Tamandua tetradactyla: one gene and its partners. The protein of the gene in region 2 interacts with the protein of the main gene of each other region in a pairwise test. Links are inferred from orthologs where the notes say so. Each region holds a gene or a part of one and is shown on either strand. Other genes may lie near its edges.

Region 1 (7,268 bases), on a different chromosome or scaffold from region 2:
AACAGTTTGGGATAAAACGAGGAAATACAAGTTTATCCATGGGTTGCTGGCAGTTTAAAGGGGCAACACTCAAATAATTAAAATAGAGAACTGGAAGTACTTGACGCAGTTATAGGGACCCTTTCAAGAGGGTATAGGAGAGCAGGAAGTGTTATTTCCCTGGGAATTAGTGTGCATGAATGTTAGATGCTAACAGAAATAGGGACCACAAGTCAATCAACACATACTGATCACCAACCAATAGCTAGACACTGCTAGACCCTGGAAATACAAAGGAACTCCTCAGGGTGCTCTCAGCCCAGTGAGATAGGGAGATATGCAGTCGAAGTAACAGCTTGTATATTGGTCGTATGGACAAGATACGAAAGTGTGGTGCAGAGAGAGGTACCTTCTGTAGAGTTTGGTGGCCTGGTACTCTTTAAGGCCTTTCACATAGCTTAATTCCTGGCCTTGTCACTTAGTACTGTTTGACCTTAATGAAGTTACTTAAGCCTCTGTTTCCTGAACTATAAAATGAGGCTAATTCCTAATTAGAATGGTTGTGGATTAATATGTATGAAACTCTTAGCAAAAAAGTATCAGCTGCAACTATTTTGGCTGAGTAACCAAGGAAGGAGAAGGTAGCATTTGAACTGGGCCTTTCAGGATGGTTAAAATTTCAGCACAGTCCAGAGCCTGGCTGGAGTGAGGGCTGAATGCAGAACTCCAGGTAGAGGGAATGAAATAAACAGGGGTCCACACTTTAACTGAAAACCTACTAAGGCTAGAAGCTTGAGTTTTTTATATGATCAATACCTGTCCTCAGAAAGAAAAATAGAGAATAGGCCTGTTTTAAGGTGCCATGAATGAATGTAATAGCAAAGTAATGGAAGCTAAAGATCGAATTGTAACTTTGTTCATTTGCTCCACAAACCTTTCCTGAGCATCTACCCTGTGCCAAGCACTTGTTGCTGAGCAAAAGAGGTAAGAGGGTATCAATTGGCAAGGAGCCAGCCCCCCGGTGGAGGGGCCTTTCCCACAGGCAGCCAGGCCATGCATCATACTTAACTCATTTTCAGAGCCAATTCTTACTTTAAGAAGACAACACTTGGAGTGAGTAGGCCTGAAAACCTGTCCTCTGGTCTAAAGACAGAAGCTACTCTAGATATGCCTGGTGGGGACAAAGGGACCTATGAAGACATCTGTGACACATGATGATGAGATGAAAAAGAACTAAACCAGATACATAGCTTATGGGAAGGGAAGCATCCACCCCATACTGCTCCATATGAAGCTGAACGTGGAACTTTCCTTTCTCCAAGGAAACAGACCCCGAGTCTCAACACAGGAATGATTGGGTTTAATTTGCTGGCATTAATAAACATGTAAATGGAGGGTGGGCCATGGTGGCTCAGTGGCAGAGTCCTGCCTGCCATGCCAGAGACCCGGGTTCGATTCCAGTGCCTGCCCATGCAAAAGAAAAAACAGTAGTTAAACATGTAAATGGAATACTACATCATTGTTAATCCATACAGCTCCACACTTAACAAAACACAGTGACCAGACCAGCCAAGAACGTTTTCTGCAGGGCAACTTGTTAATATTCAAATGCCTTAAATATGTGACCTCCTTTGACTCAGTAATTCCCCTTACAGAAATTAAATCCAAATAAATTTTTGGATAAGTGTACTAAGGTAGTGCCACAAACACGTTCCTTCCAGCTCAGCATTGACCATCATGGGAAAAAATGAGAACCCAACCTAAATACTAAACATGTGTAAAGATAATAATGTAGCATGTGTATTCATTATTGTAGAGAGATGTGCAGAACATATTAAATAATAAAAGCAGGTTTCCAAACAAAGTTACAGTGTGATCCTATTTTTCTCGATTTAAATGTGTACATATATATAATAGATATAGGAAGAATCCAGAAGGATAAACACCAAAATGGGGTTATATCAAGATAACAATATTAGATTTTTTTTCCTGATTCAGCTCCATTTCTAATTTTTCGATGATGACTATGTGTTAGCAATAAATGAATATACATGTTATTTTCTTAAAGGCTGTTGAAATAACTCAGAGAAGAGTTTATCAGTGTCTGAATCCAGGACAGAACCAAGGAGGTAGAGGGTATTGAGAGAAGGGGACCATCTTTTCCTGATTTAACAGGCAGGCCTTGGAAACCACTCGGCTATGCTTGTGGAGAGAGGGGGAGGGAAGAGCCCAGGGTTTTAGTTAAGACCATAGATCTGTTCAGCCTGATGGGAAATGCAGGAGTAAAGGCTGCCCTGCAGTGGGGAGGGGTACAAATAACTCCTCCCTTTGGCTTAACTCCAAGTACACTTTTTATTCCTGACACTTTTAGCAGACAGGCTGTGTGTGACACTTCCTTGTGGCTGTCTCCATTTCCCCAGAGAGCCACGATCCTCACAGATTCACTCCATCTAGGTCAGCAGCAACTAATCCAGAAGGACAGTCAGGAGATTTGAGCAGTTGGCTGTATATACCCTCCTCAGTTCATGTAATATAGTAATTAACATTTTTGCATGAGCTCAACTTAGATGCCAAGCATTGTACTTAATGTACAGAGCTTTGTGTGTATTAGCCCACACATTCCCCATCATGACCCTGCAAGGAAGGAATTATTAGTGGTGCCATTTAACAGATGAAGAAACCGAGTCAACAGAGAGGTTAACTTAAGATGCCTAGGGCACACAGCTCCTAATTACTATCGATCTCTAGAATCACAGGATCTTTGCCCAACCTGTGTGTTGGGTGTGGCAGGAGTTTTTACTTCCATGATCACACAGAAAGTAAGGCCCAGAGGGGTGACTTTCCCAAGTTTCCATGGGAAATGCAGTTGAAGTATGGATAAAAAATATATGTGGCCATATGGATGGATGTTAGTTAACAAACAGAATGATACACATTTCCATGTGTAAATATGGGCTGTTTATGTACCTTAAACTGTACCCTCAAAACACATTACACATTTTTTAAGCCACATACAAACTAAAAAAAGCACATTAAACACATTAAAGTGGTTACCTTGGGATGGGGGTAGGGGAGGCATGTGCTATGGGGCTAAAAGGGAAATAATAAATAAAACCAAAAGGAAAAGGAAAGAAAATGGGGTTGGAGAGGGAACCAGGATCGGATCAAGCAGGGTCTTGTAGTCCGTGGGGAAGAGACTAACTTTAAAGGCTCAGTGAAGTTAATTTACATGTCCAAGTTCACCCAGCTCACGCTAAAGCCAAGGTTTGTATATATAACTAATTAACGCCAAAGCCCATGTACGCAGCCACTCTCCATGAGTTCTGATAACAAAGCTGAGATGTGTGTTTTCCATTTTACTGTGAGGAAACTAGGGTTCAGAGAGACCAAATGGCTTGCCCTAGGTCACACAGTGAGTGGTTATAGCTAGGATATGGGAAGTTCTGACTCCAAAGTAAGGCTCCTAATACAAGTTCTGCAGCCCCCCCACCCTTTGGCCCCAGCTAACTTCATTCATTCCTCCTTTCATGCACTCATTCATCTAGGATATTATTTACTGATACCTTCTTTGGGGCGAGTCCTGGGTGAGACATGGGGGATATGGAAATTTGGAAGACCTGGCCCCTGTCGTCAGAGAGCTCAGCTGGGAGCAGGAGAGGAGACAATCAGGTAAGCAAAGACAGGCCTAGGGGGAGTCTTTGAAGGGTGCTGGGGAGTCCAGAGGAGGGGGGATAATCAGCCTGGCATGGCTGTGGAAGATTTCAAAGAGGAGGAATCAACCGTCGAAGGATGAACAGGGGTTCATTCAGTGCAGCAGGAAACACTCAGTGTGGGCAGAACAAGGATTTGGGGGAGAGTGAGAGATGAGACCAGATGGAGGAAGCTTAGATTGCCAGGTCAGAACTCAGACTTGATTGTAAGGTCATAGAGAGCTCCCTCAGGAGGTAGAGCAGGGGAATGCCCAGGCCAGGATTCTGAAGGAAGTTCTCTCTGGTGGTGGTGTTGAAAGACCTGGATTCCCTTTAAGAATCTATTGCATGAGTTGGCAAGGAAAATTGATGGCTCCTCCCATCCCAAATCTGTTACCTAGGACTCCTGGTCTACTCAGACCTTGGGAGCTTTTTTTTTTTTTTTTTTTTTTTTTTTGGTAACCATCTTGTCAAAGCTTTCATCTCCCCTGGAGAGAAAGCAGTCTGCTTCCTTCCTTTTTTGTCTACCCCCCATCTCCCACCAGGGTGATAGGGCCATAGTGGGGCTTGCAATAAAAGTGTGCAGAGAAGCTGATTCTAGGGGTCATGGACAAAGGGATCCAGGAGATAGGGACCCCAGGTATCCTTGGTCTTGGCTTTCCCCACCTCTTTGGGCCTGGGCGAGTTTCAGTATCTCAGCTTTCTGCACTGCCCGCCCCCTTGTTTGCCGCCCTCAATTTCCTGCCCCACCAGAGGAAGTGGGAAGCGACAGCAGGTGCAGCAACAGCTAGCAAGGCCATGGTGAGTCCTGATGCCCCTGGCCCCCTACACCCATGGTTCCGAGGCCCGGGTCACCCCACAGTAGGCTGATCTGTCCTAGCCCCTGAGCATAAGTGATACCGGGAGCCCTGCCTGCTACTCCCAATAGCCTCACATTGTACTGCCCCCACCAGGACAAGGAGTATGTGGGTTTCGCCGCCCTTCCCAACCAGCTGCACCGCAAGTCCGTCAAGAAGGGGTTTGACTTCACGCTTATGGTGGCAGGTCTGGGACTTAGGAAATTGGTGGGGGGTGGGGGTGGGGGTGGGGGGAGGTTCTAGAGACCCTGGCTGTCCCCTCACCTGAGCAGTTGGGCCTGTCCTGTCCACAGGGGAGTCAGGCTTGGGGAAATCCACTCTCATCAACAGCCTATTTCTCACCAACCTCTATGAGGATCGGCAGCTGCCAGCTGCCAGCGGTAAGGCCCCCCCGCCACTCTGTCCTCTCCAGGCACTGCCCTTGGCCCTCCTCCTGTGTCCCCAAGCTGTCCTCTTTTCTTTGCCATCTGGGTTTCCCAGGGCTTTCTGGATCTGGATGACTCAAGCAGCTCACTGCTTTCCTCTGGGACTCGGTTTCCTCCCCTGAAAAATGAGTGGGGGCGGACAGTGATGCGGAGAAAGGCCATTAGTCCTGTCTCAGACCCCTACCAGGCTCCTGGACCTCTTCCGTGTTCCCACAGATCGCTTGACACAGACACTGACCATCGAGCGCCGGGGTGTGGAGATTGAGGAGGGGGGTATCAAGGTGAAGCTGACCTTGGTGGACACACCTGGCTTTGGGGACTCAGTCGACTGCTCAGATTGGTGAGGAGGAGGGGAGGGGCAGGAGCTGAGCCCCTCAGTGGCCCGCTCAGTTACAGGGCTGGTCTGCTCTACCCAAGAGATAGTGCCTGTTTCCGGCAGCCACCTGGCTCAAAGTGTGTGCTGTGGCTAGTAGGTGCTTCTCCGCGTCTCACCTGCGCCCCTGCCACCTTCCCCTCATGCCTTTGGTTGAAGCCAAAGAAATGATCTGCCACTCCCACAGTCCTGGCTAGCCTTGCCCCTGCCCCGCCCTGTGACCTCTGACCCCATGCCCTCTTCCCACACCCCAGCTGGCTGCCCGTGGTGCGCTTCATTGAGGAGCAATTTGAGCAGTACCTTAGGGATGAGAGCGGCTTGAACCGGAAAAACATCCAGGATTCCCGGGTCCACTGCTGCCTCTACTTCATCTCACCGTTCGGTCGGGGGTGTGGAGGACACCTTGGGAGATGGGGCATTTGCAGAGGGGGTGGGCGGGTCTCCACACCCTTGGGCTGATTCCTCCCCAACCCCCCGGGTGCAGGCTCCGGCCCCTAGATGTGGCTTTCCTCCGGGCTGTGCACGAGAAGGTCAACATCATCCCAGTCATTGGCAAAGCAGATGCCCTGATGCCTAAGGAAGCCCAGGCCCTCAAGCAGAAGGTGTGATGGTGACCTCTGATCTGTGACCCTAGGTGAAGGCAAAGGTCACACCCAAACCTGATCTCAGCTATGACTTTGTTCATCTTGGCCTTTTTGGTGCATGGCGTGTCAGGCTAAACGGTGGGGAAAACTGAGGGATGCTTTGTCTCTGGAGGCTCAGAAAAGGATGGATATGCAGCTCCTGGGAGAAGGCCTGTCCAAGGGCAGGGGCACACCACCATGACCCCTGACCTACCCTGGCCCCGAGATGCTGATGACCACCCCACTCCTCAGTGTCTTCAGAGCTCTTACCCACTGTTTATGTTTGTCCTTCTCTCCTGGTGTCTTAGGGGTATGCCCTGTCTTAGAATCTTTCCAGGTCTCAGTCTTCACTATTTGTGTCTCAGCCCCTCATCGTCTCTGAAGTTTTGTTTTTGGTCATCCTGTGTGTCCATCGCTAGCCGTCTCTCTTTCATGTCTTTTGGTCTGCCTCTGACCACCCAGACTCCCTGTCTGTCATATCGCTGGCCATATTTTGTCTGTCTCTCATGCTCTGTATCTGACTCTCTGTGTCTCACTGTCTCTGCATCCCTGTCTCCTCCAAGATCCGGGACCAGCTGAAGGAGGAGGAGATCAACATCTACCAGTTCCCCGACTGTGACTCCGATGAGGATGAAGACTTCAAGAGGCAGGATGCCGAGATGAAGGTGCTAGAGGCAGAGGGGGCGGATGTGGAAGTGGAGGCTGAGAGGTCCCCCTCCACCCCACCCCCTTGTCTCAGGAGCCAATGGTGACCCCTGACCTCTGACCTTTAGGGAAGCATCCCCTTCGCAGTGGTCGGTTCATGCGAAGTGGTGAGGGATGGGGGGACCCGGCCTGTGAGGGGACGCCGCTACTCCTGGGGTACCGTGGAGGGTGAGTAAGGCTCGCCCCTGTTCTCAGGCTAGTAGGGAGCCCAGGCTGCCACCAAGTCAGCTGCACCCACCATGCAAAGCTGGAGGTGGGCTCTGGCCCCAGGGGTCCTAGGAATCAGAAGTGGGGATCCTGGGACTCAGGCAGTACCCACCCAGGGCGGCAGCAGGACTCCCGGAAGACTGGCCCTTGCTGGTGGAGCTGGACCCGAAGCACCCTGACGCTGGCTGGTCCGCCCCCCAGTGGAAAACCCACATCACTGCGATTTCCTAAACCTGAGACGGATGCTGGTGCAGACACACCTGCAGGACCTGAAGGAGGTGACGCACGATCTGCTCTACGAGGGCTACCGGGCCCGCTGTCTGCAGAGCCTGGCCCGTCCTGGGGCGCGCGATCGTTCCAGCCGCAGGTGAGAGAGCCGGAGCAGACGCTCTAGAGGTGTCCAAGACCCC
Region 2 (7,440 bases):
GTCCCAAGCTAATTAACTTGTCAAACGGATCTCCAAATTCACTGGGTCCATGGGGAAAAGAGGTGATATAATAATAGATTTGAGAACTTTCTTCCATTTACCATCCAAAAAGGCTCAGACACAATCACATACACCTTTTTCTACCCCTTTCAGTGGGTTTAAGCTAGGCTTAATGGTGCAAAGGACAATTTCTTCCAGACAGTCCCTAAGAATAGGCTGTTCTCATACATTCCAAAACTTCAGTCTCCATGGAGGAAGCTACCTGGCCACAAGCTTCTCCCAAGAAGGAATATATCCTTTACTCTTCCTCATTGGCACCCATTTCCAAAACAAAACAAAATAACTTCCAATCATCCTGAGAACTTCAGGGGACATTTTGTGTGTGCGGGGGGGGGGGGGGATAGGAAAAAAACTCAAGAGGGGAAGCAGGAGAGTGTGAGAAACTCCTCTTGTCTCCAAATAGGAAAAAAAGGCTTATAAAGCTGGATCAAAGGAAGAAAGGGGGGGAGGTGGGGTAGAAGGGTTGCTTAATTACAAAGACACCCTTTTAAAGAAGGCACAGGCCCTGGGAGAGGGTTCTTGTGAGAGCCCCAGAAGCAGATGTACCCACTTAGAATTCTGGCACTCAGTGGGACCTCAAGGTCATAGCTTCCATCCCTCTGCCTTCTGATTAGACTTTTCTCAAAGCATTCTAGAAGGAGTCTGATTTATTCTTTACTCAACTCCAGAAAAGCAATTCCACAAAACTCTTTGATTATGTATTAGTCTAATATACCCTACTTTATAAACCAGAAATGAGATTTTAGTTTCCAAATCCAAATCAGCATTAATATGAAGAAAAAATTCGCTTTTCTCAAGTCTTTTAAATAGGTAAACAGACCCACAATTTTTGCATGAAAGCTATTACATACACACTGTGGTCAGAAGTTTACTTCATATCTAAACTATGAAGTTAGGAAAAGTATTTTCAATTTTACAGAGCCACAAACTTTTCCAAAGAGAGCCACGAACTTCTCCAAAGAAAGAGGCATCTTAAAATGAAGCCTGATGCATTGCCAGAAAATGTCTGTAAATGACACCGGATAAACCCATACAGAATAGCTGGAATCTGAGTTATCATCTGTAAATAGATGCAACTACTCTACAGCCACCTGGCTATTAAAATGTCCCAGGCCAGTTATAAAATGTAGTTTGGTCAAGCCAGCTCTTCCCTCCCAGCTGATCTGAAACATGATATCCTTTAAAATTGTTGCCTTGTAATGTTTCTTCTTTCCTTCCCTGCTTTCCTTCCCACCATTAAAATCAAGCAAAGAAATTATTTAAAAGCGTAAGTAATTTGTATCCAAATAAGTAATGGATCAGGGATCGCTCATAATAGGTCTTTGAACACAACCATTCTTATAAGTTTGCTACCCTTGCCAAACTGGTAATAGATGGGAGATTGGGGGAGCTGTACCTCATGTCTAAAATGGTATTTCAAACTATGCTTAGTTACTAAATGAGGGTGCTGAGAGGTCTAACTGAGAAGGTTTCACAAAGACTGGCATGAGAAAGAACTTTTCACAAAGCCTAGCTCAAGGAGACTTAAATACCCTTAGCTCTCCACCATTGAAGATTATGGTCACTAATCATCTTCCTCTCTGATGTTAGAAAAGGGTTAAATTCATAAAAGTTGCTCCCCAACTTCCATCCTTCTTGGAGAAAGTGGGGTGGGAGGGGAAAGAAATCCCCTGGGTTGTTGGAAAATTATTTTTTTAGATTCATAATATAATAGAGATTGGAAATGCTTTTTCTCACTAACTTTCCCTTTCCTCACACATTTAATTGCATCTACTCCCTTGCTGCAAATTATCATTATATCATTAGTGATAATTTACGAAGAACTGCTCACAATCTACAAAGACTGCCGCTTTCCCTCCCACTTTTCCTACTCTTTATTTTCACCTATTGACGAAATCCGTATTACTATTGAAGCACCAACGCAGAGTGGCTCGGGTTTGGGACCCTACAGATATCTGCACGGTCCCGCAAAACTAGTTACTAACATCTTTGGACCTTACAAACTAGATAAGTAGCAACCTCTGACACCCCACCCCCTACGCAAATGCACATGTACACCAAAGTGTATCGTGGTAGATTACTCCCAGACTTTAAAACTTCAAAATTTATGGCACCCTGGAAGAGGGGAGTGTAAGAGCCCCAAACCCTACCCTAAGCACTTAGGAAACCTGCATCAATTGATTTAAGTGCGGACAATAGTGCTGGGCTAAATGGAGATCTCCTGTCTTTAGTTTCTCGCATGATTAATTACCTAGAGACCTACAAGGACCCCAGGAGGCAACGGGGTTAAAACTACCATTAAGTAGTGGTACCCACTAGCATCTCCTCACCAAAGGAGGGCCCGAAAAGGAACGCACACTCTTGAAGTGATTTAACTTGTAGCACATTCCGGAAAACTCACCGACAACTGCAAAGAAAAGTAGAACGAACGGGCATCTCCACACGCATCTAGACAGACTTACTCACGCCGAGGGCAGGACCAAGTTCATGCCACCATGAATTCCTGCCCCAGCTCCCCGTGAAAAGTAACCACACGTCTCCTACCCCCGAAGGCAACGAAGACAAGGTGTCGGCTCTCAGCTCACTCAGATAGATGGCTTTGGCCCTGGCCGACGGCCAAGGATGGGCAGGGGGAGGAATCCCCAACTCCTGGCTGCTCCCCTTCTCGTCACTCCGTCCGTGCGTTCCTTGGTGGCAATGGACAGACAGGATACCGGGCCGGAGGGTGGAGCAGCGGATGGTCGGAGGCGACAGAGACTCGAAGTGGGGGTGGGGGTAGAACTAGAAGAGGAGACGAAAGAGAGCGGGGATGGAGGAATAATTCAGGGGGTCTACCAGCTTGGGCAGCCAGAAAGCTCTTCGGAAGGAAGGGGCGTGACTGCTATGAAGGCAGCTCCCGGGCAAAGGATGGGAGGTAGAGGAGTGGGACGAATGGGTGGCTTTTCTTCTTGCAGTAAGCGGCTAGGACCGCCCAGGAGCGGAGGGTGGGGGTAGACTTAGGAGGGAGGCGGAGTAGAGGGCGGGGAAAGAAGGGCGGGAGTCTGCCTGGACCTCGGGGCGGGGGAGGGGGCGCAGAAGGGAGGCGGGGCAGGGGGCGGGGAAGTTTGAAACAATTGAACGGCGGTGTCCAGAACCTCCGGCAAAAGCCGGTGCCCTCGTTCTCGCCCTCTTACTAACATAGCACGACTCGGTTCCGGTAGCCCAAAAGTCTACACAAGGAGTGGCTGGGAGGAAGGAAGGGGTTCTGTAAAGACTACAGTAATCTACGGTAACAGCGGAGCAGAGTCGCGTGGGAGAGCCAGTGCAGCTCCCCGCCCCACAGCGGGAGGAAGAAAAACAAATAGAAATGCTGAAAAGCGACTTCTATCAGAGCCTGCTTAAAATAATAAAGGAAGGCGCAGCGCTCCTCCGATTTCCTTCCCCTCTTGCTTCCTATTACCACAGTCCCCCACCCAGGTCACAGCTCTATGAGACACCCTCCTTTCTTCCTCTGTTTCTCTTAGCCTTCCCCTTCCTCCTCCCATTCGCGTCTCTGCCTGGCTCTCCATGGCAAGCTGCGCAGGCAGCCGGGGTGGGGTAGGTGGGGCGCCGTGGAGCCTCCGCCTCTTGGGCGGGCTGTGAAGGCTGGCCTGGGCGGAGCGTCCCGGAAGAGTAAATCCCACCCGACGATTCTTTTGCAGTTTGCAGTTGGGGAGTCCTGGCCTAAGGTACGCCTCCTATTGGTTACTGGAGCCGTCAATCGAATTCTTTTGCCCCACCCATCCTCAAAATTAATAAAACTAGACAAGAACCTATTGTCTTGCTCGCTAATCTCCCCCAGCTACTGCTGGGAAGAGAAAGATGAGACGCTTGATTTCTCAGTCTGGTAAGAGTGCGACAGTGTGTCGACTGATTCGGGTACACCTCTGTGGCACTCACTGTTCATTCCTCGGAATAGATAACTTTCCTCCCTCAATTCATTAGGCGAGAAGGAGGAAAAAGTACGCGAAGTATCAATATGTTCACATTTTCTGGCTGCAAAAACGATGGTATTGCTTAAAAACACGGGCAATTGAGAATAGCAGGCTGGGACACTTGAAAGTCTCCCATTTTACAGCTGGGAAAATAAAGCATAAAAGAACAGCATAAGGGTGACAGAGGAATATGGGTTTTGGAACCAACGTAATAATCATTTCGGTCTCCGGCGATTATTAGCTAGTTGTACGACTTTTCTTAAGGCGCTTAGCTTCTCTGAGTCTTAATTTTCCCATCTTGTAAATAAAGTCTATAAAATATGCTCTATTAACTTAATGGTATTGGTATGAAAATAAAATGAAATGAGTGTGAAAAATCTGTAGACTACCAAGCACTCCACAAAGGTATGTGGCAGAGTCTCACGTGTTTGGAAAACAAATATTCTGCTCATGTTTTTAAAGCATTTATGTCCAAGGTATGTAGGATTTGTGGCTTTGTTTTAAAAAACGACTCTTCCTAAAGTTCTGGAGGTGGGTATGGGTTGGCTCCCTGCAATTAGAATAATAAGTTTCCCTTTTTCTAACAAGTGTGGGTGAGATTTCTTTTTTAAACAGTTCTGCAGTGGCGCCACGACCTAAATCTAATGTGGTGCTCGTACTGAAAGAGGAAATCATGCTGTGTATCTCTGAAGCGAACTTGAGAAAACAAATATGAGAGAACATTTACCATGGAAACCACATTCTGTACAGATCTATATTTGCTAGAAAATGTAACAAGTAGGAAGCAAGTCTAAAAGTAAAGGCTTTGACAATGGAGAGCTAGTATAATGAACTCATGCAAATGAAAGAGTTACATCCAATTCAAGTTTGGCTAATAGGAGTCTTCTTAGGAGACATAGATCAAGGCCATGCAATAGGAAGTGTGTTTAAAGGAAGCATTATCTCACTGTGAACAGAATCTCAATATAATTCTGGTTGCGGGAAAAGTTATGGGCAGGTAGCACATCATCAAAAGCATTGAGTGGCCTCGGTATACAGAGTACTCTGCTAGGGGCTGCCAAAAGATTCAGAAATAAGAGTATGGGTATGATTGCTTCAATTTACATATGAGGCGAGGTTATTTAGGTGATTTTTCATGGGGAAGATGAATTTTTGTGCATTAAAGACATGGAGAAACCTGGTTTTATGAATCAAGGGAATATTATTCCAGCCTTGTTATTTGGAGGCATGGGCAGGAGAGCTATGAAGAGTGCGTATATGCTGGAGAACTACCACTGATCAGAATTGTAATATGCTACTTGTTAAAATTAACATTGCTGTTAAAATGCAGAAGGTAAAATATGTACATGGTAAAATTAAAATCAAACAAACTGAAAGAAGTACGGTGAAAAGTTGCCTCTTTATTACTCCAGTTCCAGAGTCCCCTTACACTCTATAACGGTATGTAATCTTCAAAATATATTATTTGCATATCCATGCAACATGGGTACATATGTGAACACACCTTGCCCTTCTTTACTCAAGTATGTATCTTAAATATCTTTTCATATTAGGACAATTACTTCTATCTAATTATTTTTCATGATTAGTTCAGTAATCCATTGCATAGATATACCAAAATTACTTTAATCAGCCCCCTGTTGAGTTGTAATTTAGGTCTTTCCCATCTTTTGTCATTGCAGATGATGCCAGAAAAAAAATTCTTGGTAGCATGGATCTGGCAGCTGTGTTTTAATATGCCTGGCAAGAGTCTTGACATTGTCCTCAAAAGATTGTCCAATCTGTCTTCTCCACAGCTACCAGGGCCTTCATAAGGTTGGAACCCCTCAAACACCTAACTACTTCCACACCCCCTCCTCCAATCCTGCCATGGGCATTACTGTTCTTCTACAACTTTTAATTTTTTGATGGAATATAATTAGCAGAGCTCTGAGCTTAATGGGGAATCAGGCCATGTATGAGTCACCTCTTAGCCTGTGGCAAAAAGCAGGTTTATTGGTACCTCTGATTTACCCAGGTCTTTCAAGCATCTTAGGTGTTCCTTCTGTCTTGCCACACAGGACTTTCTCTTTGTTTTTACCCTGAAAACCCTTCAGTTTGTTTAAACTGTTTGAATTTAAAGCCATGCATTGCTTGCACTGCTTAAAGTGGGGGTTGGGGGGCGGAGGTGGGAGGCCAACATCAACAAACATTGATTGAGCTGCTATTATGGACAAGACTGGAAAAACAAAGAAGTATGAGACTTGGCTCCTGCCTTCAAGGATATATACATGAAAAGATAACTAACAGGCGTATGCTAAGTGCTAAATGAATGGTATTGACAGTAAAAGCTGTGGAAGTTGAGAGAAGGGAGAGAAAACTAGTTTCAGGGAGTGAGTTTATATAGCAAACCATGCCACACACATTTGACTAATCCCCAAGGCATCCCCTGACTTCAAATCCTGACTATAAAATATGGAAAAACCCGCTGGGGAATACCAGGAGAATTAGCCACTGACTTTGAAGCACCTGTGTAAAGATACTGGGTTTCCTAAGTGTTGCACATTAAAATCTCCATATATTGATATGGAAAAAAGGAAGATCTTTTAAGCTATAAATCAAGAGTCTCCACCTGAAACTACGTGCCCTATTTGGCTTTTTCCCCCTTAAAAAGCAACTTGTCTTTAAAGTGCAATAAAAATCAACATATGCACTTTGTTGGCAATATTTTTGCCCAATGTACAGGAAAAGTAGGAAGGAGAACACAGCTTATAGTCCCAACCTCTGGCTACGTTCTTCTTTAAGGCAAAATCATAAGATTTAGCTGATTGACACTCTCCCCCACCTACCAAGCCTACTGGGAGTGTAGTGTAGAATGAGCAATTTTTCTCTAATTGCCTGGTGAACAACTAAATCATTTAGATGCATCTGAAAAAAAAAGAAAAAAAAAAAACAAAGGCAAGTACATTCATTAGCGAAAATTCTCAGGATGTATGTCTTAACATAACACCCCCCCCCGCCCCCACGAAAATGCTGTTCATATATGTTAGACACACATTGAAAAAGTCGCCTGTTTATTTATGACACCTGCTCTGCAAATGCAAAATCCAGCAGATCCGAAAATTGCAGTTTCATTTGAACAGGAAAAGAACAGAGACACATATATAATGTAAGAATGCAGCTAAATGCTTTTCTTTTGAATACCTTTCCTCCCCTCTTCCATTCTTTCCCAATACATAAACACACACACACATACATACACACCATACACACACTTGGTCCAGACACAGGAAGTTTGAAGCATGATCCATGTGTGGAAACCAGCAATGTGGAAATTCAGGAAACAACACCAGAACTGTACTCCAAGGCCAAGACCTGTTCCAGCATTTTGGAGCCAAGTTACTCCTGGGGTACTTGCAGGCTCCAACATTTTGGAAGTAAATTGGCC
Region 3 (7,832 bases), on a different chromosome or scaffold from region 2:
GAATCCCATTTCTGAGGGTCTGTGTACACCCAAGGCACTGAGGCTTGTGATCTCTCCCACGGAGCCTGGAGCCCAAGGCGTGATTTAACCCTTTCTTTTAACACACCTGCAAGGAGTATCTGGTGTGTGAGGTGGACACTGTGGATACTGAAGGCATCACCCCATCCCCCTTCCATGAAAACCTGTTGGCCCAGCTGCTGTGAGTGCTGTCTTCAGACTGACAGCCTGCAGTGGTCAGCTCCTTCAAGGATTGCCTCAGCAGCAGAGAGCCCCTGGCCCAAGGTCCTGTCCCTTTCCAGCACAGTTCACGTCCAGTACCTGCAGGAGTATAAAGGCCTGATCATCTTGACTCTTCTTGGGACAACTCTGAAGGGCCCTTCCAGCTTCAGGGCTCCTTGTGGGGTGGGCTGTGGCTGTCACTGCCTACATTGTAGCTCCACTTCTTCATTTACCCATTCCTTCCTTCCCCTACCTTGCACAGATGTTGATCTCAAGAACAGTCCTAAGAAACGTCCTGCACGCCAAAATGTCTCAGCGGAACCCAGCCTGCAAGTGGGCTAGTCCTGGCAGCAAGGTTTTAGGACAGGAAACGACCAAGTCACCAAGTTGTACGCTTAGTTTTTCTCCAGAGGTGTTGTTGCTGACTCTTTATGCCCACCAGAGGGCAGCAGCAGCCTAGTAACCTGCCCGCAGAGGCTCAGAGGAGTGGGCTTTGAGCCTTTGCCCTACGACACGCCCCTCCCCACCAAGAGCTTTAGGTAGGAGCCATCCCTTGGTGTGTCTACTTTCCTGTCTAAGGGAAGAAAACTTTCTAAAACTGTCTAGACCTTGGTTTTTCCAGGATCCCCCCCTCCCTGCTCCCCAGCCGTGAAAGGCCAATCAGTCTTCTTACTACAACTCCATCCCCCTCCCCAGCTGGGCAACCTCCTCGCCCAACATCTCCCACCTCTCAAGATTACCACCCACAATAGATTTGTTTTCTGTGTGACAAGGTAATTATAAGCTTGGTGCCAGGAGGCCCAGGGGCCAGTCTGAGGATGGTCACTTCAATTTGGCTCTCCCTGTTCCACTAACATTATTGATTTTTAGTTTTATTTATTATTTTTGTGTGTGCGATCCAGCCCCAGTGAGATGAGGTATGGAGGTGGGAGGACAAGAGCAAATTTATTCTTGTCACAATTTAGCTTCTTGAAAACACCACCCACCTGAGATTGTTTATCTGCTAGTCTTAATATCTTTGTTTGCTTGACTTCATTCTATCCCCTAGTCCCCAAAGTTCTCCCAAAGATTCTTCTGGAGATTGGAAACAAAATGTAGGTAAAGAGACGGTCTGGGAAGAGGAGTGGGGACAGGAGGACAAGGACAGTACCTTATGTTAGCAGCCATTAGCATCCAGCAGGCCTCTAGTGAATTTCCATTACCTGTCGATTATTTCTAACTCCCTGCTTCTTTCACAGCCCTTCCTTCTTGAGGCAGTCCTCAAACCTGCTATGCTATTTGTCCTTTTTTTTTTCTTTTTTCTTTTTCTGCATCAGTTTCTCAGGGTGTGAAATGGGTTTGAACAAAAATCTGAGCAGAAAGCTTTCAAAGTTTGAGATTGGGTGCAGCCAATTCAAAGAGCCGTGACTGTCTGAATTTCAGCTACTAAAGGCCTCCTATAATGCACTCTACTTCCTTGGAGAAGAGTAAGGGCAAGCTTTACAAATGGGAGGGGGCGCTTTGAACAGCGGTGAGTGCCTGGAGAATCAGCTGAGGCTGAGGGCCATTTGTGGGGCCGCGTTCCCCCAGCCCATCTTCTCTATGCATGCCAGGAGAATGAATAAATCATTGTTCAGGGGCGGGATGCAGCTGCCGGGCTCCTCCTCTCGGCACATGCCCCGACTGCAGCTCCTCCATTGAAGACTGCTAGAGCAGAGCTGTTTATACACCCAGCTCCCCAAATCCTATTGGGGCCTCCCCCTCCGCACGAGCCACCGGCTCCAAGCCCATTCAGCCTGGCCCTTTGTGTTGAGGGTTAAGTGGTTACATGTGGGGGGCACCCAGAAAGGACCTGTCAAGCCCTGAAAGACTGTCCTGATGCTGTGCCCTCCTACTGATGATGAATGGGGTGGGTGGAGGAGAGGTGGGCGGCCGGAGGGCATGAGGATTATGGAGCCCATGGAGGCAGCTGCTAGGAAGGGGGTGGAACAGGCATCCCCTTCTCTCATTTCTCCTTTCGTTCAGCTCCTCCACCCAGCCCTCTCCCTCTGTTATAGGCTCTGGAATGCCATCTACCTCAGGGCCTTGGAAGAGTGGGTCAAGAGGGCATTTACCATGTTTTGCTGTGGGAGAAAGTCTACACTCTCATTCTTCCAGCAAATCCAAACACCCTGTTTCTCCTTTATCCCTTAGGAGGGGAGAATTTATCTCCTAGGTTCATCTAATGCAATGTATTTGAAATTGCCATTTTTAAAGCTCTGAGGAGCTTTAAAAGCTTCCTCAGAGGCCCCTCAGCAGCCATTTAGGATGGAGAGGTTCAGGGGAAGAGAGGAAATCTCAAATTGGGTGTATTGCAATGATTTTCCTTGGGTGGGTGGGGAGGGGAAAGATTCCAAGCCTTCAAAAGAAGAAAGTTTTAAAACAAAGGTGTGGCCCTTCCTGGCGATGTGGGACAGAAATCCTAGAATGAGCTGAGACTCAGCATCAAGGGCTTGAGAAGACCTTCTAGACCAAAAGGGGGAAGAGTGAAATGAGACAAAATGTCAATGGCTGAGAGAGTCCAAACAGAGTGGAGAGGTTATCCTGGAGGTTATTTGTACGCTTTAAGTAGATATCACCTTGTTAGTCAAGATGTAACGGAGAGGCCGGAGGGAACTGCCCGAAAATGTAGAGCTGTGTTCCAGTAGCCATGTTTCTTGATGATGATTGTATAATGATATAGCTTTCACAATGTGACTGTGTGATTGTGAAAACCTTGTGTCTGATGCTCCTTTTATCTACCTTGTCAACAGATGAGTAGAACATATGGAATAAAAATAAATAATAGGGGGAACAAATGTTAAAATAAATTTACTTTGAAATGCTAGTGATCAATGAAAGGGAGGGGTAAGGGTATGGTATGTATAAATATTTTTTCTGTTTTCGTTTTATTTCTTTTTCTGAATAGATGTAAATGTTCCAAGAAATGATCATGATGATGAATATGCAACTATGTGATGATATTGTGAATTACTGATTATGTATGTAGAATGGAATGATCAAAATAGGAATGTTTGCATTTGGTGTTTTTTTGGTCTTTAAAAAAATAAAATAAAAAATACATATAAGAAGAAAAAAAGAAAAAAAAACCCTCTGTTTTGAGGTACCTCCTCCTCATTTAGCAACTGAGAAAAAAAAACCCAGCCATATCGGGTGTGGGGGAATGGATGTGATCACACTGTCATTCCTAGGTGGACTAAGTGCACTTGACCTTTAAGAGGCAGTGGGGAAATGGAGGAAAGAAACAACTAGGTCACCAGCTTCCTAGGCCTTTTTTTCCTGAGATGAGCAAGCCAAATGACTTTCCTTCTAATCTGCCTTAAGGGTTCTCTTGCATATCAAAGGGACCCCTGGGCTGTGTCTGATCTTGGGGAGCCTGAGAAACAACAAGTACAACTGTAAGTATTTAACCATTTCTGGGCATATTCTTTTTTATTTAATCCTAAAGGGTTAAAATGACTTGCCTAAGTTCCCAAAACCATGTGAGAAAGCTAACAGATAATATGAGCTCGGGAAAAGAGAAGAAACCAGTTAGCAATGTAGCTTGTACTCCAGGACTTGGTTCTGATGTGGCACTTTGAGTACATCCTCAGTTATCTTCCTGCAGCCCACAGGATGAAACCCAAATTCCCTGCACAACTGGTCCAGTTTACCCTTCAGCGTTGTTTCCTACCTCCATTTTCCCCACACCAGCCTCCTGTTCCCTAAATACACTAAATATGCATCCTCTCACCTTCTCCCCTTTCTGTAGTGAGCAGACTCATTCTTCCAGGCCTGCCTCAAATAACACCTCTGTGTGAAGCCTTTCTTTACCCTCCTTTGCACTCATTGCATTTGCCTCCTAGCTCGGTGGCAGGACCCATCACATCGCACACCCCACTTTTCTGAGTCTGTAACCCTTTCCAAGCTGAAAGCTCCCCAAGGCCACAACCAGGTCTGATTCTGCTCTAAATTACCGTGGCAATAACTGGCACAAAGTAAGCTCTCTAAACCGTGGGCTGAATGCGAATGCGTGGGTGGGAAGTGGCATGACCTTTGAGGTGAAAACGCTTCGATCCTACCCACCTCTTTCTTCGTAATGAAGAACCCTTATATGCCTATCCTATTTCCTGGAGTGGAAATTCCTCTCATCTTCCCTTGTCTCCTAGCCTGACACCCCACTTCGGGGGCCGGACCTTATCCCCAGCCCTTTCCCAAGGTGGATTTTTCCTCTCTCCTCTTAAAACGTAACTGGAGAGGTAGGTAGCCCGCAGAACGCGCCGAGGGCCCTGAGGCTGTTGCCTTAAGGATTTTCCCTGCAGCGCGAAGCCACTGAACTGTTCCAAACCGCAGGGGTGGTGACAGGATCAGACTTTCATTTTGAAAATATCACTGTGTCCGCAGTGAGGCGAAGCGGTGCAGTGAAAGCCCTTAGGAGATAAACCAGACCTGGGCGGTCGGGGAAAGACAGCCGAAGGGTGGGGGGCTGCGGTTCCGGCCCACTGCGCAGAGGCGCCGCTCAGCGGAAAGCCGAACCGGCCCACGTGGACCCGGCCGCCCCGCCCCGCCGCGCTGACGCCGCCCCACTCCGCAGTCTGGGCCTGGGGCTGGCCGCGCCGCCCCGCAACTCGCGCCCCGCGCCCCTCGCCCTAGCCCACGTGGACGCCCAGGCCGAAAGACACCCCCACCCCTCGGCCCGAGTGGGTTCCCGTAGGTGGCCGGGGTGGAACCAGAACCCGCCGCGCCGGGGCGGGCTCCTCTCGGCTGTGAGTTGGGGCCCAGAGGGGGAGGGATTGCGGCCCAGCCGCGGGAGAGGGGGAGTTGAAGCCTCCGCCCAGCTGCCTCTTCTGTAGAGGTTAGGGAACGGTGGTCTCTATCCTGTGTGTTGGCGGGAGTGTCCCTCTCTGGTAAGGCCAAGCAGGAAGGGAGGCCCCCTGGGCGCCCCCATCCTTACAGAGTCCCCACCCCCATCCCGGGCAGATTGCGGATTAGTTCAGGGAGAGGCCTGATCCTGGGGTATCTGGGCTCCAATTTTGCCATCTCTGATAAAACGTGATCCTTAGCGCCACCCTCACTCATCCTAGCCTGCTTTATGGCCCAAACCTAGGAAAAATAAAAATTTTGCACAAGGAAAGATTTCCAGGCACCTTCCAGCGAGCCTTTCGTAAAGGGATGTATATGTGGTGGGTGGGGGTGGGGGATGGTGAGGAGGGGATGCAGGTTACAAAGGGATCATTACTCAGGACTTGTCCTGGCTACTGGATGTGGGGAGGGACCCTGTCCACCTCTAGTACCTGTTGTGCATATAGTATCCCGCACTCTTAGTGATAATCGTCAGTCTCTCTAATCCCAGTAGTAAGTGATCAGAAGAAATCGCTTGTCAATTCAAACCCTAATTTGGGTAAAAATCAGTTATTGGAAAAGGAAAAGTGATGTGGCATGGCCACTCTCCAGGGCCTGTGGATAGAGCAAACCAGAGGCAGGGACACAAGATGTAGTCATGTTCCAGGGGAACTGGAAGGGAAGTGGGTGAGCTCAGAGGAGAAGTTTGTCAATGGGGGGATTGGGGGGGGCACCCTGGAGCAGAGGTGGGAACTGAAGCCAGCTCTTCTAGTCCTGGGTAGTCAGCAGTAGACTCCTGCCACCATCATCCTGGGCAGGGAACTCCCAGGGGAGTCCCTGCTCCCCTATTCATTCACTCAGCAAGCATGGATTGACCAATTTGCTAAGTGCTAGACTCTGTGCTGGGTCCTGGGGATGTGATGGAGAACATCAAGGAGCAAGCAGCTCCTTGGGGATCCAGATTTACAAGGTACCATTACAAGATAGTTGAAAAAACAGTTACATAAACATTTATTGATTTTCAACTATGTGCCAGCAACAGGAAGCAAACATGGATAGTACAGTGTGTACCCAGGGCAGTGGGAACCCAGAAGAAGGCATAATTAACTGTGGGGGTGGATGAGTGGGAGGGTGGTATCAGGGGAGTCTTCAGAGAGGTGAAGATAATTGGAATTGAGTTTTGAAGTAGGTGAAGGAATGTGCTGGGTGGAGAAGGAGAAAGCTTAGAGGGAAGAGGAGAATATGGGCATTGTAGGCCAAGCAAATTGCTTGAAAAAAATATGGTGTGTTCTGAAATCTCTGGGTAGTTTGTTGGGGGAGGGCCAGAGTGGCAAGAGGCATGTCTGGAGAGGTGAGCAGAAGGTGGATCAAGCAGGGTCTTCTTGGCCATGTAGAGAGGTTTAGCAAGAGTTTAGTGAGGGCGCAGCTGCAGTGATCATTCAAATTTATATGTTTAACTGGAGGCAGAGAGATCAGTGAAAAGTCTGTGTCAGTAATCCTAGGAAGAAATGGCCTGAACCAAATGAAATTGTGAGGAGATACATACACATACTCACACACACACACACACACACACACACACACACACACACGAAGGTTTTTAAAGAGGAAGAATCATGAGAATTGTGTGGCCAATTCAATGGGGGCAGGACGGAGAGTGAGGGGTCCAGGTTGCTCCAGGATTCTGACTGGGGTGACTGAATGGGTAGTGGAGCCATTTTGCTGAGGACACTGAAAAGAGGGCTGGTTTGGATGAGTAGAATTTGGAGAGCCAAATTCTAGGTTAAGGGGTGTCTTTGACAGTTAGATAGCAGCTGTAACTGGACTGGAGACATATGGATGGTTTGAAGCTACAGCAGAGGATGAGGTCATCTGGGGAGAATGCAGTTAGAAGAGAAGAAAACCTGCTTTGGAAGGCTGAGGAAAACCTGCTTTAAAAGGCTGCCCATTTAAAGGATGGGCAGAGAAGAACCCTGTACTGGAGACTGAGAAGGAAGATTCAGAGAGGGAGGAGAAAAACCATGAAGTGGGGCTATTATCAGGGTCAAAGGAGAGGGACTAAGAGCAGCCAGCCTCATGTTTGCCACTTTGTCTTGGCAGCTGCAGTAGCATGACTTCAGTCATCCCACCCCGTCTTGCTGTGACTCATTCCTCTGCTTCCCCCTTACAGACCAGATGTTTGCCATTCAACCAGGGCTAGCTGAGGGGGGCCAGCTCCTGGGGGGCCCACCTCCTGGGGTATGTCAGCCTGACTTCCAACCAGACAGCAACTCCAACTTCGTGGCAAATGTCAGAGATGCCAATGAAAACTGGCATGGGATGCCAGGCAAAGTGGAACCCATCCTGATGGGGAGTTCCCCTGAGTCACCCTCTGACAACAAGGCCTTCCAGGACCTCGAGGAGGAGATCCGTAGTCCTCCAGAAGGGGCAGAGATCCCCAGGGCTGAGCTTGAGAAGATAGTTGGTGGCAGCACAGTCTGTTCCCCACTGGAGGACAACGGCTATGCCAGCAGCTCCTTGAGCATTGACAGCCCTAGCAGCAGCCCTGAGCCAGTCTGTGGGACTCCTCGAGGCCCTGGCCCTCCAGATCCTCTTCTGCCTTCAGTGGCCCATGCAGTGCAGCAGCTTCAGGCCCAGGAGCGCTACAAAGAGCAGGAGAAGGAAAAGCACCATGTGCATTTGGTGATGTACCGTCGCCTGGCCTTGCTCCAATGGATCCGGAGCCTGCAGCATCAACTGGTTGACCAGCAGGCCCGTCTGCAGGAGAGCTTTGA
Region 4 (7,703 bases), on a different chromosome or scaffold from region 2:
TATATTTGCATTTGATTATGGGGAACTGCTTTCTAAAATCTGAAAAACTCTGAATTTCAAAGCATATCTGGCCCCAAGGGTTTTGGTTAGTGGGTTGTGGACCTAAATCAGGGATTCCTTAGATTAGGAATTTTCCTCCAAAAATGTAAACTCTTCAGGAAGAGTAAGGACTGCCAGTCATTCACAAAGTAGTAAATAGATGTCCCACTGCCTTACTCCTAAACTTAGCTAATATCAGCTGCATGGAGAAAAGAGGATAGTGACCTAAAAGGTTCTGAAACATGTGCCATTTGGGGGAAGAGAGCCTGGCCAGAGAAAAGAAAAGCACCACAAGACCTAGAGACCTAAGGGAAAAGAAAGGGAGTAAAAAATAAGAGCACAGCAAACCTCTGCCTAATTTAAGATTCAAACCAGGGCCCAAAAATGAGAACAGAAACTCTTCCTCTTCTCACGTGTCCTACAAGCTCTGTTTCAGAACCCAGGATTGAGGAGCCTGCTATTAGCAAATTGCTACTTTAAACAACATGCTAAATAAAAAATTTTGTAGGTCAGGCTGGTAATCTAACCACATTGTTTTTATGGGAAAACGTATTTCACATCTCAATCAACTTGTAAATAATCTTTGTAAATACACCTCTTTTCTAAGTTTGAAAGCACTATTCCCCAGCAAGACAACACCTTTCCTGAAATTACTCCACACGGAGAAAAACCTCCAAGCCAGATCAGCCCCTATTCCCAGGAGAAAGCAACCTTGCAGGAATCATTGCTACAAAATACTGATGCAACACACACAAGTCACCAGAACACATAATCCCAAATCAAAGAAACAAGTTTTCAAACACAGGACTGTGATAAATGAGATCAGACCCACAATCTCTCTAGCTCAAATTCTGTTTCTGAGAGGCACATTTAGGTCCCCTTTGACCCCACAGTATAAGACAGCAACTTCCAGAGTTTTAGAGATATTCCTTAAAAATCACAAACAGTATAAGGTATCTTCATCTAACATTTGGGAAATGGTCTACAAGATTAACCTGTACCACGTTTGAAAAGGGTAACGGCAGCCAACATTTGTTGACTACCCACTATATGCCTGGGTTTGCCCACATCATCTTATTGCACACAAACTGCCACTCTATGAAGAAGGTATAGTCACTCTAACTTAAGAGAAAAGAAAACTGATGCTCACAGAGGCCATGACTTGTCAGCCTGTCTGTGTGACTCTGAAGTTCTCTTCACCATTACACTATCTACTTTTTTCCACTTGTTCCAAAACATGCTGTTTCCCAACTTCAAAGAAGGACCACCTCCAGAGTCCTCGACCTTTCCAGCCCTAGACAACCCCCGTGAGCTTTCATCTCCTTCAGCGCACAGTTCTCTCCCTACCCTATCCTCCTCCATGCCTCTTTAGAGACTCATTAATCTCACTGATAATTTTGGTTGTCTTCTATTTCCTAATATCTTTACCAGAATTTCTCAGGGTAGAAGCACAAAAGTTTGCATAAAAGGAAATAAATTCTAGTTTTGAATACCCTAACGGACCATACTTGGCTCTTTGTTAATCTATTTGCGGTGGGGGAAAATATCTCTTCTTCTAATCTTTAAAATTTCTCCCTTCTGAGACCCTCCCAAGGATTAGAAAATGTGAGACAGGGTAAAAGGATTATTAGAATGCTTTCAAAACATTGGTTGTGAGATATATTGTTAAATGAGTGCAGATTTTCTGTTTGAAAAAGTTGGAGTAATGGACATTAGTGATAGCACACTACTGCGAATAGAATTAATACAATTGAATTGTACACTTGAAAGTGGTTAAAAGGGAAATTTTGAGTTGTATATTTGTTACTACAATAAAAAGTAAAGAAACAACAAAAAGCATTAGCTGTGTTTGGCCTAATCTATTTCCTTCTCCATCAGAAGTTTAAAAATTATCTGCAGTCAGTCCTTCTTTAGTTCAAGGGGATCAGCAAATAGTCTTCCCCTTCTTCAGAGCCTCCACCCTGGATTTCCAATCATTTGAGATGAACTAAAAAAAGGCCACAGTGTAAATAAAAGTTACAGGCAATGATGCCAAGGAGACTCCATCTCCTTGCACAACCAGCTTTAAATTAATGGTTTAGATACCAAGGGCAGTTTCTCTCAATAAATTCTCAGCTATTGAAACTCCAGAGTCTGCCCTGCAAGACGCGGAAGTGGCTGGTTAAGGGGGGGCCAGGCAAGCCTACCAAGCACCCCCCCCCCCCAGGAGCCAGGGTCTAATAAAGAAGACATCCCCCAGAATCACCCCTACCCCCCATCCCTGGCAGCTTTGCCACCACGTCAAGGGCTCGGCACGCAGGGCCCAGATGTGAAAAAGGCCTCCCCTTCTAGTCACGGCGCTGCCCACCGAGCTCTCGGGCAGCCCGGGCTTCCTAAGTCCTGTGATGCGCCCCCCAAACACCACCCGACTCCTCCCTTCGCAGCCTCGGGTTCTTGGCCTCTTTCCCATGGTTCTCCCACCACCGCGCTCTCCGGGTTCCTCAACTCTTGTCCCTTCCTCCTCGGGGCCCATCAGCTTTGCCCATCGAACTCTCACAACTCCAGACTTTCCCCATCCTGAGCCCCCCACACCACACCCCTTCCCCGCCCTCACGCCTGACATCGCCCCCGCGCCCCCAGCCCACCTGAGCCAGGCTGAGTCCTACCTGGCGGCGGTTGCCGCTCACCCTCAGCCATCTTCCTCCCGCCAAGAGCTAGTCCGGACGCCTCCAGTCTCCTCTCACCCTTCCCTGCACCCACCCTTCCTATCCCCGACTCCACCCCAGACTCAGAGCTTTCTGAAGAGAAATGAGCACCAGTCAGCTATAACCGAAAACCGAGAATTAAAGTCACCCCAGCGGAGACAACCGCCATGTTGGTGCGGGGCACCCAGGGAGCATGCCCACCAACGGCCGGCTTGAGGGTATCGAGCTTATTGGGGAGAGCTGCAGCCATGTTGGTGCGGGGCACCTGCGGCGCATGCGCAGCAACGGCTAGCTCGCCAACCTACCAGCTAACCGACCGCCGGGTAATAGGGAGGGGGCGGAGGGGGAGTGCGCTGTGGCAGCCATACTTTTGCGGGGCCGTCGCGTTTAATTGGTGCGGCAGACATGTTTTTGTGGGGCAGCACCCCACCTGTCATCTTTGTGCGTGGCTCCCCACCTGTCATCTTTGCGCGTGACACTGACCCTATCTGAGGAACGTTAGAGGACATTCCCGTCAGCATGGTTAGTGTTTTCTTGCCACTGTAAGAGTAACGCTCAAGGATACCAAACGGATTGGGAGAAGCGCACGCAGCTGCCTCCAACAGCTTAGTCTAGAAAAGCGCAGACGCTATTTGGAGGTGGGGGAGAGCTGGACAGTACCCTCATCTTCAGCCTTATTCCTGGGTCCCACGGCTTCTCGGGGACTCCCAACCCCTAACCGTCCCCCTTTTCCCCGCCCCTGGGGCTGGGCCGGGTCGCGAGCTGTGGCCCCGCACTTGAGCTCGCGGCTAGCCGCCCTAGGTCCACGGCCTGCCTGAGGCCCCGCCCCGTGAGTCTTCCCTCCCTTGGGCCGCCTGCCTGCCCGCCCGCCCGCCCGACCCGGTGGATGGGCGCAGGGCGGCCTCTCCTGGCTGGCGGCGGTGACTCGGCGACCTTGGTCCAGCGGCCGCAGCTGGGCCCTAGCGGTCGCGGACTTTGCCCAGCGTGAGGTCGGAGCGGACTGTTTGTCCGCCTACGGGCAGCAACGATGTTGGCTTTCGCTGCCAGGACCATGGTGAGTGTGGCCGGGATCTCAGGCTGGCGGGCCCTGGATGGGACAGGGGGGCCGGGCAGGCTTCTTAGTTGCGCCGGAATGGGGAAATGTGCCGCGGAAGCCAGAAGGTGTAGAGCAGCCAATATCCCGCCCAGCCTCTCTAGTGGAGTGGGGTCGGCATGTGGGCTTCCCCTGTTTGGCAGAGAAGACTGAGGTACAAGGGCAGGAGTGGTATCGAACCCACATCCTGTAACTCTAAATTCCCACGACCCGGAAACGACAGTAGGACCCTGGCTTTCGCCAGACCTCCGATCCTTAGACCTGAAGTCAAGTGGGGAGAGAGGCTAGAAGTGTCAAGCCGGGCACACACACTCATACTTAATTCTCAGACTCACAACTCCCATCCACATGCTCAGGCCTACTGTCTCTGCCCAGGGCAGAGCCACTTCTCCAACCTTCTTGGTCAGCCTTCTTGGGTTTTCAAATGGTCCTTGGGGAATGTATGTGACCAGAGAAATTCGTGGGGAGGCATCAAGCTACACTGCTGAGGAAGTCCTCAGAACTGTCCCAAGGTGGCAGGTGGCAGTCCCATGCCCCTCCCCCATTCTCTCCCACCTGTCCATATCTATTCCCCAATCATCCCCAGAGGGCTACCTGGCGCAAGTGGTGCCGCTTACCTGATTTGGCTTCCTTTCTGTTCTGGTCCAGGCATCTCTGCTCGTATCTCTGCCTGTATATTTAAACAGATACCACCAGCCCCAGAGAGCTTAGGGAACCTGTCTGCTGGCTGAAAGGCTAAGATTTAGGGGTTCTTTGGGGCCTCCCAAGACCCTGAAGTTCCTCTTCATCCTTGCTATTGCCACCTGGACTGTACCCCTATTGCAAGACAGCTTGCTGGTCATCCTCCAGGACCACACAGCTGACCTGATCATTTTCTGCTAAGGAAATGATCCTAACTGAGGCAAGGAAGGCCTTGGTCAGAGTTCCCTGGGTCTGGTTACTAAAATCTAGTCCAATTCCAAAACCAGCATCCTTTTGATTTATATTTAATGCCAAAAAGTCCTCCACTCTTCTTCCACAGCTACATGAGCTGTGGCTGAAGAAAAGCAAGGCTCTGATAGAGGGATGGCCCAGAAGGACCCTTAGAGTCCTAGAGGGAAATGGGAGTTGGGCATGGTTCTTCGCAACCTCTGTTCCATCCATGACCACCCAGGGCTGCTCCCTTGCATCATCCCCAATTTCGGGGCTAATTTTAGGGCTGTGGTGTAACCTCAGCAGCCACATAGTTTCTGCCCTCTAGCCAAGTTTTCCCTCATCAAACAGACCTACGCAGATTCCAACAGGTGGATTTTTTTTTTAATGCTTTTGGCCTGCCTCCCTGGTACTGAGCCCATCCAGAGAAGAAACAAGAAAAATTTCCAGGTTTCCTCCTCCAGCTATTCCCATTCTCCTACTTCTGGGAGCTTAGGAGGATGGAACAGCTTCTGGAGGTCCAGCAGTTTCAACTCCCTGCCAATACCACAACCCCCATGCCACCACTGCCACCATAGCTACCTCATCTGCCACATCTGCCTCCTGCCCCTCCCTCCCACCCCTGAATCTTGGCTCTTGTCTTCTCTTTCCAGCCCAGGCAGGTGGCTGCCTCTTGCTAGGTTCTGCTCACCCACTCGATAGCACAGTTAGGCTTAGAGATCCGGCCAAGGCAGACAGACAGGGCTCAGAACCTCAGTCCTGCCATGGAGGACGGGCAGCAGGGAAAGAAGGTATGGAACTTAGCCTCTGCTGTTTGCCTGCACACTGCTGCAAGCAGCCTCCAACCCTTTTGTCTCTCTTTCTACTCACTTCTAAAGTCTGCTGTATACCCTCTTTCTCTCTGCCACTTCTCACTCTCCATGCCATGCTGCTCAGCTCTTTCTTGCCCTGACATTGTCCCCATACTTCCCTTCCTCCTGTGCCCAAGCAGGAAAAGACCTGAGGTTCTGTGGCTCTCTCACTTTCTCTTCTTCCCTCCTATTTCTCAATCTGGGAAGGGTGGGAGAAGAGGAGGGCGGGGCATTCGGGTGGGAGCAGTCACCTCACTGCTGGCTGGTTCATCATGTGAGCGTGAAAAAGGTGGGGCCCTGTGCATCAAGGCCAGTGGGAGGTCTCCCTTACCACTGGTACCCCTGAGTTGGTTCCCCCGAGCTCTGCCGAGATCGATGGCCATACCCTACTCTCCCTGACCCCTTTCTTCATCCAGGCCCCTGAAGTGGGGACACCCATAGCCTGAGGGCTGGGAGGCCAGGGTGGCACAGCACCGCCCAAGAGGCCGTCTCTGACCCAGATGGACACATAAATGCCCAGGATTATGGGTTTAGGATTGCCAGGGCCTCCTTGCTAGCCCCAGCAGGAGAATGAGTAGGTTATTCTGCTGCCTGCAGGTGAAGCCCCTGGGCTTGCTTAAGCCCACCTCCTTGACGAAGGTTTCCGGCCGCTTCAAGGCTCACCAGGATGCACTGCCCCGACTGCCTGTACCCCCACTCCAGCAAACCCTGGACCATTACCTCAAGGCGCTGCAACCCATCGTGAGCGAAGAGGAATGGGCCCAAACCAAGCAGCTGGTGGATGAGTTTCGGACGGCGGGAGGTGTCGGGGACCGCCTACAGAAGGGGTTAGAGCGCAGGGCCAGAAAGACAGAGAATTGGGTAAGTGAGACCCTTCCCACCCCACCTTTCATGGGGATAGGTGATTGAGTGCTATCTCGGAGGCTCTGGATCCTTCTAAGCATCCCTCACTGTGGTGTGTTGACCACACATGGCTAAATTTTGAATACTAGGTTGCTTTGGTGTATTTGTCCACAGAAATTCTTTTTTTTTTTTTAACGTTTTTTTATTGTGAAATATATACAAAAAAGCAATAAATTTCAACGTGCATTTTAACAAGTAGTTATGGAACAGATTTCACGGTTTGGTATGGGTTACAGTCCCGCAATTTCAGGTTTTTCCTTGTAGTGCCTCCAAGACCCTGGAGACTGACAGAAATGTCAATATATTGATTCAGCAGTCATACTCATTTGTTAAATTCTATCTTCTCCCACAGAGTTTCTTGAACACTTACTCTGTGCCTGGCCCTAGGTAGGATGCTGGGTGAGCAGGAAGGACACAGTCACTGGCTGCTGCTTCAAACTTACATTCAAGTGTTGGGGGGAGAGAGAGGTGATAAACAGATAGCATATGATAAACAGATGGGGTACTTACAGTCAGCCAAGGTCTACAGAAATAAAAAAGGATAATGGGAAAGAGCATGGGGGGTGAGGAATGGCAGCTTTTTATCTTGAGTGGACAGGGAGGGTGGGGAGTAGTGGCATTGGTTCTGATACCTGAGAGTCTGAGACAGGGAATAGCACAGGCAAGGGGGAAACAGCCTGGCATGTTCCGGGACCAGAGTGAGGGTTGGTGGGGCTGGAGCGGAGTGTGTGGGCCGGGGAGGCCAAGGTATAAGGTATGAGAATTTGTGCCACAACAGGCTGGGGAACTGCCTGAAGGCTTAAAGTGGGGAATGCGCAGCTGGTTACACAGGTGTGTTCAACCTGTGAAAATGTATCTATACTTATGCTGCATGTGCTTCTGTTTGCATCTTATACTGAAACATCAGATTCAAAATGAATCACTCAGGTATTGGGAGTAAAGCGAGAGGAGTTGCTGAAGGCCTGTGGGAAGACAGGCACATCCCCCGGAGGGAGATCCTGGCAGTGTGGACCAAGGGCTTTGGCAGGGAAAGGTTAGAAAGCCATTAGATCTGGGATGGATCCTGGAGGCAGCAACAACAGCACTTGCTGTTGGGATGAGAGGTCCTGACCTAGAGCAACTATGGTAGGGACGGTGGGGAAGGATTTGCTGAATTGGGGATGGCTGAGGGAGAAGCAAAATTGTGGAAAGAATCAGAGTTGGGTTTTGGCCCTGTGAAGT

Evidence for each region.
Region 1: the proteins of AMOT (region 2) and SEPTIN1 interact in binary tests that used the Homo sapiens proteins (3 or more experiments, as listed by UniProt). The two-hybrid records come from large-scale screens. The link is inferred for Tamandua tetradactyla from reciprocal best matches to the Homo sapiens genes AMOT and SEPTIN1.
Region 3: the proteins of AMOT (region 2) and C2H1orf216 interact in binary tests that used the Homo sapiens proteins (3 or more experiments, as listed by UniProt). The two-hybrid records come from large-scale screens. The link is inferred for Tamandua tetradactyla from reciprocal best matches to the Homo sapiens genes AMOT and C1orf216.
Region 4: the proteins of AMOT (region 2) and PTPA interact in binary tests that used the Homo sapiens proteins (3 or more experiments, as listed by UniProt). The two-hybrid records come from large-scale screens. The link is inferred for Tamandua tetradactyla from reciprocal best matches to the Homo sapiens genes AMOT and PTPA.

Annotation. Positions count from the first base shown.
Region 1 is NC_135349.1:24,180,319-24,187,586, forward strand, and holds the start of SEPTIN1 (septin-1), read left to right. Parts: upstream 1-4,259; 5' UTR 4,260-4,274; coding exon 4,275-4,469; intron 4,470-4,621; coding exon 4,622-4,712; intron 4,713-4,818; coding exon 4,819-4,905; intron 4,906-5,166; coding exon 5,167-5,290; intron 5,291-5,577; coding exon 5,578-5,712; intron 5,713-5,807; coding exon 5,808-5,925; intron 5,926-6,509; coding exon 6,510-6,611; intron 6,612-6,719; coding exon 6,720-6,819; intron 6,820-7,059; coding exon 7,060-7,225; intron 7,226-7,268. UniProt on the Homo sapiens protein: Filament-forming cytoskeletal GTPase. May play a role in cytokinesis.
Region 2 is NC_135353.1:56,980,354-56,987,793, reverse strand, and holds the start of AMOT (angiomotin), read right to left. Parts: upstream 3,012-7,440; 5' UTR 2,462-3,011; intron 1-2,461.
Region 3 is NC_135328.1:189,652,486-189,660,317, forward strand, and holds the start of C2H1orf216 (UPF0500 protein C1orf216 homolog), read left to right. Parts: upstream 1-4,822; 5' UTR 4,823-4,982; intron 4,983-5,016; exon of another isoform or gene 5,017-5,123; intron 5,124-7,228; 5' UTR 7,229-7,233; coding exon 7,234-7,832.
Region 4 is NC_135328.1:52,002,787-52,010,489, reverse strand, and holds the start of PTPA (serine/threonine-protein phosphatase 2A activator), read right to left. Parts: upstream 3,019-7,703; 5' UTR 2,974-3,018; coding exon of another isoform or gene 2,925-2,973; 5' UTR 2,716-2,924; coding exon 2,664-2,715; intron 1-2,663. Other genes in the region: CRAT (carnitine O-acetyltransferase), read left to right, coding at 5,493-5,519, 6,177-6,440. UniProt on the Homo sapiens protein: PPIases accelerate the folding of proteins. It catalyzes the cis-trans isomerization of proline imidic peptide bonds in oligopeptides. Acts as a regulatory subunit for serine/threonine-protein phosphatase 2A (PP2A).